2 linked regions of the Mus musculus genome follow. The protein of the gene in region 1 purifies or fractionates together with the protein of each later gene. This does not show direct contact. Links are inferred from orthologs where the notes say so. Each region holds a gene or a part of one and is shown on either strand. Other genes may lie near its edges.

Region 1 (4,316 bases):
TGGCCACTAAAAACCAGACCGGGTTGAATTTTCACTGATTCAAAGCTAAACTAACCCTTTGCATGGCTAGTGCCAACACATACATATTTAGCAGCGACTCTTTTTAGAGGAATGAGGGTAACACTGTTGATACTGTTTTATGAGTACAAGATTACTAAACGTCTTCAACGGTTAAACAAAAAGCCAAACTTCATCCAGGGCATACATGCCTTTTGTTTTGTTTTTGTGTGTGTCCACGTGGGGGAGTACGTCTATAGCTGTGTATGGACTGAGCTTGAGGCAGAGTATCAGTGGGATGTCATTCTCAAAGGCTGTTCACCTTTTTTAACCTACCTTTATTTTCACCAGATATTATCAAACAGGAAAAAAAAATCTTATTAACATGCCTGATTTTACTTTTTGCGACAATGACTTACTGACTCTGGAGTCACTTTCAAATTTGTCTAGGCTGCTGGATAGAGAGCACCCTTTTCCCTCATCCTGTCTGCTCCTCTCAAGCACTACTATTAAAGGCCATTTAATCTTTAAATTAAAGGGGATTTGCTTGGCTTTTTATGTGGGTGCTGGGGAATTCCAGGCAAGCACTTCATAACCAAGCTATCTCAGGCCCTGAGCATATTTAAAGAAACTGTATTTCAATGCATAAAAATATAATCAATTAAAAGCCTCAAAAGCCAATGATAAACTTCAAGTGAGCATTTTTTTATCGCTAATGTCTTTTGCCCCCAATATTTTGTGTATGTTTTATGTTTCAAGCTTTACAGCTCAAATACTCATAATATCACTTCGTAAAACTGTGAACGGTAGTTTATGCCCCAGTACAAATTTCATTTTATTTTTGCAGAATTTTATCTTTCCTTAAATCCGAAGAAACATCTCTGAAATACCTGCTAGATTTGCAGGCTATCCTGGATCCTGACCAGGTGCCTTCTTGAAGCCACAGGGTTAAATATTGGACAATAGTTCTCTTTTCTAGGCACAAGAACCAGTTTCAGACCTAGGAGCGACAGCTCTAAACTGGGGGGCGGGGTGAGGGGACCTTGAGTCACCTCAGCCCGAGGACTCACAGACCTCTCTGCACAGACTCCCACAGACGCTTAGTGTCTGCAAAACCAAGACTCGGGGGTGGGCAATGAAAATCCCTACCTAGTTAGTGCCTGCTCCTATCACAGTTTCCATACAAAAAAAAAAAAATTAATTAAATTAAAAATGCGCCACACTACCTCAGACAGACACTCGCTGCGCCACTGCGGAAGGCGCCAAGCAACCCACTCAGCCCCCAACGCGGCCTCAGGGACCCGCCCACCGCCTGACAGATAGCCAATCACCTGCCTGCGCCTGAGACGGCGCAATGACGCCTACCGACGCACGCGTGATGACGGACGCGGCGTCACCGTCTCCAAGGAACGGTCTGGGGCACCGCTTTCAAAGTCGCAGGGCGGGCCGAGTGGACTCCGCGGCCGCTCCTGCTTTCCCGCGGCCCTGGCGTCGCCCCTCAGCCGGCGGGGACGCTGCCGCCCAGCCAGGCGCGTCGCAGGGTCATCCTCCCGCGCGGTCTGACGGGAACTCGGCGCCCTCCGGCCGCGCGCGGCTCCGCGGCCCTTCTCGTCCGGCCGGGTCCGGCCGAGCGCGGAACGGAGTCTGAGGCGCGTCGCCTGGGTTCCGCGGAGCGGCGGGCCGGGCTGCGCCGCCGCGTGAGTGGGATGCTGATGTCTCCGCGCCAGGGCTCGGCTGCCCCTGCGACCCCTTAGCTTTTTGTTTGCCCTCACAGCGGGAGGCTGCTTTTTTGTTGTTGTTCGATTGCTTGCTTGTTTGAGAAATACCTTCTTTCCCCCCTGCGAGGAATCGATAAACGTGATGAAAACTCCAAACTAAAATATCGAAATGGCCACAGAAATCGACTTACTGAGAGACCAAAGTAAGCGCGCTCTGTTCCCTGATGGAAAATTCATCTGTAAGGTGCAGTGTCGCTATCGTTGACCTACTAATGTGTTGTGAATGCTGGTCGGGTCCCAGCGTGAAAAATGTTAAAAACTTAAAAAGAAGTGCTCTGCACAAAATGCTTGGTGATGTACATGAGGCTATGTATGTACTTAACGAAGCTGAGACGCTAGTAAATACTTGTAGAATATTCCTTGAGCGTGCACTGGAGTCGGCCAGGCACGAAATAGATTTGTAATGCAATGCGTCTGTTGTGCTCGAAGAAACTGGAGGGCTGATGGCCAGGAAGAGTTTCCAAGCCTGCAGGTTAGGACCTCCAGGCATTGCTCAGGTCGTTAGTTTAAAAGATGTTGACCTATGTTTCATTACGTGCCAGGTGCTATACATGTAGCTGATGTAAGGAGATTCTTGTTCTCCAAGCATGTAGCTGGCAGAAGGAGATACATAAATACCAAAAATACACTGAAGCAGCAGCAACTGCCGACTCGTTTGCATCAGATTCCAAGTAGTTGATGGAATTATTGAGCAAACATTGAAATAGCATCTACTAACATGGAGCTAAACAAATATTGACTATTATGCGGTTATTAAACTACTTCCAGAGGAGATGCCATTTGGACAGAATCTTGACATACCACTATGTGTTTACTGATAAGAAAGGTTTAGGTGTCCAAATTATTGGCAACATTGAGGAATTGGTAGTAATGCTTTGTTTAAAAACAAGACAGTTGCCTTGAACACTACATAGAGGTTTATAGAGGAGTACAGTTCGTTAGCTGCAGTTGTAATCATAGGTAAGAAGGATACCTATAGGACCTAAGGAAGATGTAGAGATTGAAGGCTGAGAGATTTGAAAGAGAAAGAGAGAAACTCAGGTATTTTCTTGAGCTACAGAGAAGGTTGGGGAAACATGCTGAACTCTACATTGAGACCAGAAGTAAGGACATACTCTTTAGATTTGTTTCTGTACATATATTGCCTAGCTCTCACATTTTACAAGTTTGATCTTGGTCAAAATTCTTAGCTTCTCTGTGCCTATGGTTAATACATGTTAAATGCTCTGCTCCCCCACCCCCATACACACTATTTATAGTGTTGTGGGATATATGCATACATATGTATACGTTCCATGTGTGTGTGTGTTGACATTACAATAGCATTATTTCTTAAGCAAATGAGTAGGAAAAACCTCCCTCACTCTATAAAGATGGATAGATCACAATCTGAGTGATCATCGTAAATGAGTTTTGCTTGGTGGAGAGACACCTGAATTTTAGAAGATGAGTTTTAGAAGAATAAAGCAACTGTAATTCTTAAATAAAAATTGAGTCCCAAATCTGAGCAAGCCCAAGTAAGAGAATTTATTTTAATTGAAAACTGAATTGTAAGTCAGTAAAACACAAGGGAGAATGGAAGAAGAGATTCCCACATAGAAGCATCAGAGCTCAAGGGCTTGAAAGGTCAGGAAATGGAAGCATGGAATTTTAAGGTTTGTATGAAGAGCTAAGAATGAGTGTTAGGAATCTGTGAGCTTTTTCTGTTACTAGAACTTGTATGCTAGTTAAAGATGGGGGTTGTCCCACTAGCCATACCACCTACCACTGTTGAGATAAAGATGACTCTCCATCCTTCCATTTGCCTCTCATACTCTCTACTGATTGATTGATTGATTGTTCATTTGTTTTTTTCAAGCATTGTTTCTCTGTTTAACAGTTCCGAGTGTTCTGGAACTAGATTTTTAGACTACACTGGCCTTGAACACTGCTCCTTCTGCCTCAAGAATGTTGAGATTAAAGGCGTGTGCCACCATACCCAGCCTTCTACATTGACTAAAGTGGATCTTAATTTCTTCTCACTGGATTAATTTGGTTTTTGTTTTTTTTGGTTTTTGTATGTTTATTTTGTTTTGAGAAGACCTGGCCTTAGATTCTCTCAATAGCCTAGGTTAGCTTCAAACTCATAACACATAAAGTAAATCTTTAACATTTTCAAAAGTCCATTAAGAATATGTCTTCATGTCTTCAGGGTACAGGAGGATTTCCTTTGTAGATTTGACTTTTATTAAAAGAAAATGGTATGTTAATAAACTTGAGTATTGCATGATACTGCCAATGTCTCCAACATTTACAGAAGCAACTGGTTAATGCATTTGCATATTTATGTGTGTTTGTTTATAACATAAATTTAAAAAAGAAAACAAGCGTCATGGCAAAGTGAAACGTTCTTGTAATATATACAATTTAAGTCCAGAAATGGGAATGGCGAGAACCTCAAAAAATTTATAACCACTCCCTCTTCCTCAAAGATAGTGAAATATAATCACTATCTTTAATGTTATACCTTAATTTAGTTTTTTCAATATTTAGTTTTAAAAA
Region 2 (3,819 bases), on another chromosome or scaffold:
AACAGTGGTAGATTGTATTATCCAGAAGGAAAACTGAAGTCAGCCAACCACAGCTAAAGCACAGTGTCATTAGCATGATAAAAACCTTCTGGGCTGGGGAGATGTCTTAGTGAGTAAGTCCTGGCCATGCAAGCCTAAGGTATTAAGTCCAGATCCTTAGAGTGCACATAAATCCAGACATGGTGGTGCATGTCTGGAATCCCACATGGAGACGGTAGGCAGAAAGCAGACCATTTCAGGAATTTGTGAGCCAACTAGTCTGGTATATGCAGTGGTGGACAGCTAGAGTCCCTGTCTCAAACAAGATGGAAGGTGAGGAACTGGCACCTGAGGCTGCCCTCTGACTTACACTGGAAAACACACTCACACATAACTCCCTCCCCAGAGATAGGGGGGGATTTCTTAAAACTTGTTAGCCTAGAGTTAGATATTTAAGGTCTATTGTTGATTAATTTTAGAAATTTCTCTCATCTCCAAAAATTTGCTGGGAAGGTAAATATATATGTGAGTGAGAGAATATAAAATATCTTACTGTACCAATACTATAAATGCTCCATAATAGGTGTCCTTTAGGGTTCAGGTAGTTATGAAGAAGGACGAAAATTAGCATATTGGTCTAAGAAGAGAAGGTTGTGTACTTTGAGCTCTCTAGTATGCCTTTTAGTATTACAACTGGATAAGAATCTCCAAAGATTTTCTCAGAGTTGATATATTATTACAAAATATTTCAGTAGTATGTTTGTTGCAGTGTCTACTACATTTTTACATTATTTAAATGATAGTTTTTTGTATTTTAGATTTTCAATTTTCTTAATTTTTTGGACTACCAGTTTATAGTTTCATTTTATATAAACAATTAATTTAAAAATTGGTTGTCATATAAAAACTGCCCATAGGCTATGTATGCCTCTGAATATGGCCAAAGAGACACTACTCTTTAGTCCATATTTCAGTTTAAGAAATACATTTAGAACTGGGCATGGTGCTTCACACCTTCAATCCCAGCATTCCCAGGAGGCAGAGACAGATGGCCAGGCTGGTCTATAGAGAGAGTTCTGGGACAGCTAGGGGGCTTCACAGAGAAGTCTTGTGTAAAAGAACAAAGTAAAGCAGACAAAATAAGAAAGAAAGGAATCCAACCCATGTGTCTGGGAATGCTGCAGTGGGGCAGGGTACTGCACACCTGTAATCTGTACACTGGGGAAGCCAAGGAAGGAGGGTTGCAAGTTCCAGCCCATCCCAGGCTGTACAGTGAGACTTGTCTCAACAGTACATGAATCTCTACTGTGTTACCAAATGGTATTGTATGCATTTCTCAGGGGAGGTATGGGAATCTGTGACCAATGCTATACAATAGTGAGAACTATTTGAATTTTCTTTCTCTAAACTACATATGCATTCTATTTATTGGACTTTGAGTAAATTTCTTAGATTTTTAATCGTCTCATTAACACTTTTGTTAAAGAAAACTGTTCTTAAGTTTGTTTGAATTCTGTTATTAAGGCTCTACTTTTTTTTTTTTTTTTTAAAGAGCTAAGCTGAAATGTGCAAAACTAAAGAAATACCTGAAGGAAGTATGTGAGTCTGAGAGGAGGGCTCAGGTTCGAAACCAAGGATATTTAAAGAAGTTTGAATGTGTCCAGACGTATGTTGAACACTTGACCACAAATACAGAGAAGCTTCAAAAACTGAAGGTAACATTTTGTTTTCTGCTCTGTGTTTTGAAAAGCTTTTCCAGATGAGTGGCAGGCACCACTTCCAGTTGTCTGAATAGGGTTATTTGTTGGTAGAATGTGTGAATTTAAGCATCATTAAGTTCCTTTTTGAAACCAATTCCCTCTTTATAGTGAGTCCTTGGGTTTGTTTGTTCTCTTTGGTCTGGGCTGCTCTCTTCAGGGCAGGAGTCCATTAGGGGTGGGGAGCACTGAGGGAAGACATGTCCCTGGGATATCACCTTCCTGCTTCTGGGCTCTGGGGTGCAATGACTGCTGTTGGAGACTCCCTTTCATTCTGGTCCTTAGTCCTTTCCACGCATGCTTGTGTGACCTTTGCAGCTTACTCCATCTGGAGGGCCAGATGCTGGGACTTCTTGCTTGCTGTCTGTAATGATAAGGGTCATAGTTCAGGTTAACCCAACAGAGCACTCAAAAAAGGTGGTTTGAGTGGGATTTTCTTTGTGCTTTATCAGTTTTTCCCTAGCCTAACTGTATTGCAAAATATTCAAATTTATAGAAAAATGAAAGGACTTATTCTAATGGACACTGTCTCCACTCGATACAGCAGTTATAAGTATGTGTCAGTATTTGCTTTGTGTACACATGTGGGGTTTTCTTTCTAAGTAGTTTCCTGTTCCTATCATGACACTTCTCTCCTAAGCTCTTAAGCACAAGGGTAGTGTCTTTTATAATTAGACTCATGTTATCATCCTTAAAATTAACTAATCTACAGTGTCATTTAATATTTAGCTCATACTCAGATTTTTCCAGTTCCCCTAAAAAGCCAACCCACTAGAGTTTATATATTATTTGAGATATATATTGTTATCATCATGATCCTTTAAAGTCTATTTTAGTCTAATTTCAAATTTTTGAAAAACTATAAGATGTTTATTTGTGGATTTAGAAAAGAACATAATAGACAAGCATAAAAATCATGATAGGACATCAGTAAATCACTTCTACACAGTGAAGTAAGAAACATACGTGCACATTTTACTAGCATGAACAATTGTATTAATGACCATCACACACAGGTATGGCAACTACCAATAGACAAACCAATTCATAATGGAATTAGATCAAAAAAAGTAGAAAAAAATAACTGTGGCTTGTGACTGCTTTGAGCTCTTTTTACTTTCTTAATACTGATTTTTAATTAGGTATATGTGGGACTTGGTCTGTGTGTGGGTTTGTGCATGGAGGTGGAGGAGACAAGAGACATTGGATCTCCAGGGCTGGAGTCACAGCTACTTGTGATTCTCTCAAAGTAGGTTGTGGGAATCTGTGTCCTCTGCAGGGACAGTACCCACTGCTAACCACTGAGCCATCTCTCTAGCCTTGTGACTGATCTTCTAGGTGACTGTGATAGTCAGTCTAAGCACTGGGAAGAGATCCCTTAGGAATCATTGTGGGTGACCTTGAACAGAGAGTGTTCAGAAAGCAAGAATCTCAAGGAACTGGGCTCTTCACAGACGCCCGTGTACAGAAGGCTGTCCCTTCCTTTATTAAGAGGATCTCAGTGTTTCTGTGTGTGCAGAAGGCTGTCCCTTCCTTTATTAAGAGGATCTGTGTTTCTGTGTGTGCAGAATGCCTGTGCACATGGTAGGGCTCTGACAATGCATTTGAGGAGTCAGGCTTTTCTCATAAAGTGGAGAAAAATATACAGGGGCATTGTTCATATGCTGATGTACAGGAATCCTGATGGCAGACCCTGAGAAAAGAGAATTGAGTATAAGCCAGCTGCTCCAGAAGTTAGCCATAATGTAAGAAATAAGGGCGGGGGAGACTGCCTAGTGAAAGAAAACATATTCTAGCAATTTTGTAGTTTACAAAACACAACTATAGAATTCTCCTTGCTTGGGTTTTGTTTTATCATATCATACATTTACCACAATTTAGGTTGAAGTCCCTGGAATATATTTTGTTTCACTAATCTCAGATGTTTTGTTTTCTTTTTTTCAATGACATTAGTTATTTTGAGGAAGTCAGCCAATTGCTTGTCACTTAGAATTTGAGTTATCGTTTCCTGGTCCAGAATTTGCCCTCACCTCTGACCCTATCCCCTGTGAACTGAAAATGTGCTTTGGACTAGCACTGCCTG

Evidence for each region.
Region 2: the proteins of Sclt1 (region 1) and Kiz purify together in Homo sapiens (co-immunoprecipitation; 3 studies listed by BioGRID and IntAct, counting the BioPlex papers as one, with this or other methods). This does not show direct contact. The link is inferred for Mus musculus from reciprocal best matches to the Homo sapiens genes SCLT1 and KIZ.

What each region holds. Positions count from the first base shown.
Region 1 is NC_000069.6:41,739,597-41,743,912, reverse strand, and holds the start of Sclt1 (sodium channel and clathrin linker 1), read left to right. Parts: upstream 1-1,398; 5' UTR 1,399-1,884; coding exon 1,885-1,918; exon of another isoform or gene 1,919-1,959; intron 1,960-4,316. UniProt on the Homo sapiens protein: Adapter protein that links SCN10A to clathrin. Regulates SCN10A channel activity, possibly by promoting channel internalization.
Region 2 is NC_000068.7:146,862,176-146,865,994, forward strand, and holds part of Kiz (centrosomal protein kizuna), read left to right. Parts: intron 1-1,531; coding exon 1,532-1,694; intron 1,695-3,819. UniProt on the Homo sapiens protein: Centrosomal protein required for establishing a robust mitotic centrosome architecture that can endure the forces that converge on the centrosomes during spindle formation. Required for stabilizing the expanded pericentriolar material around the centriole.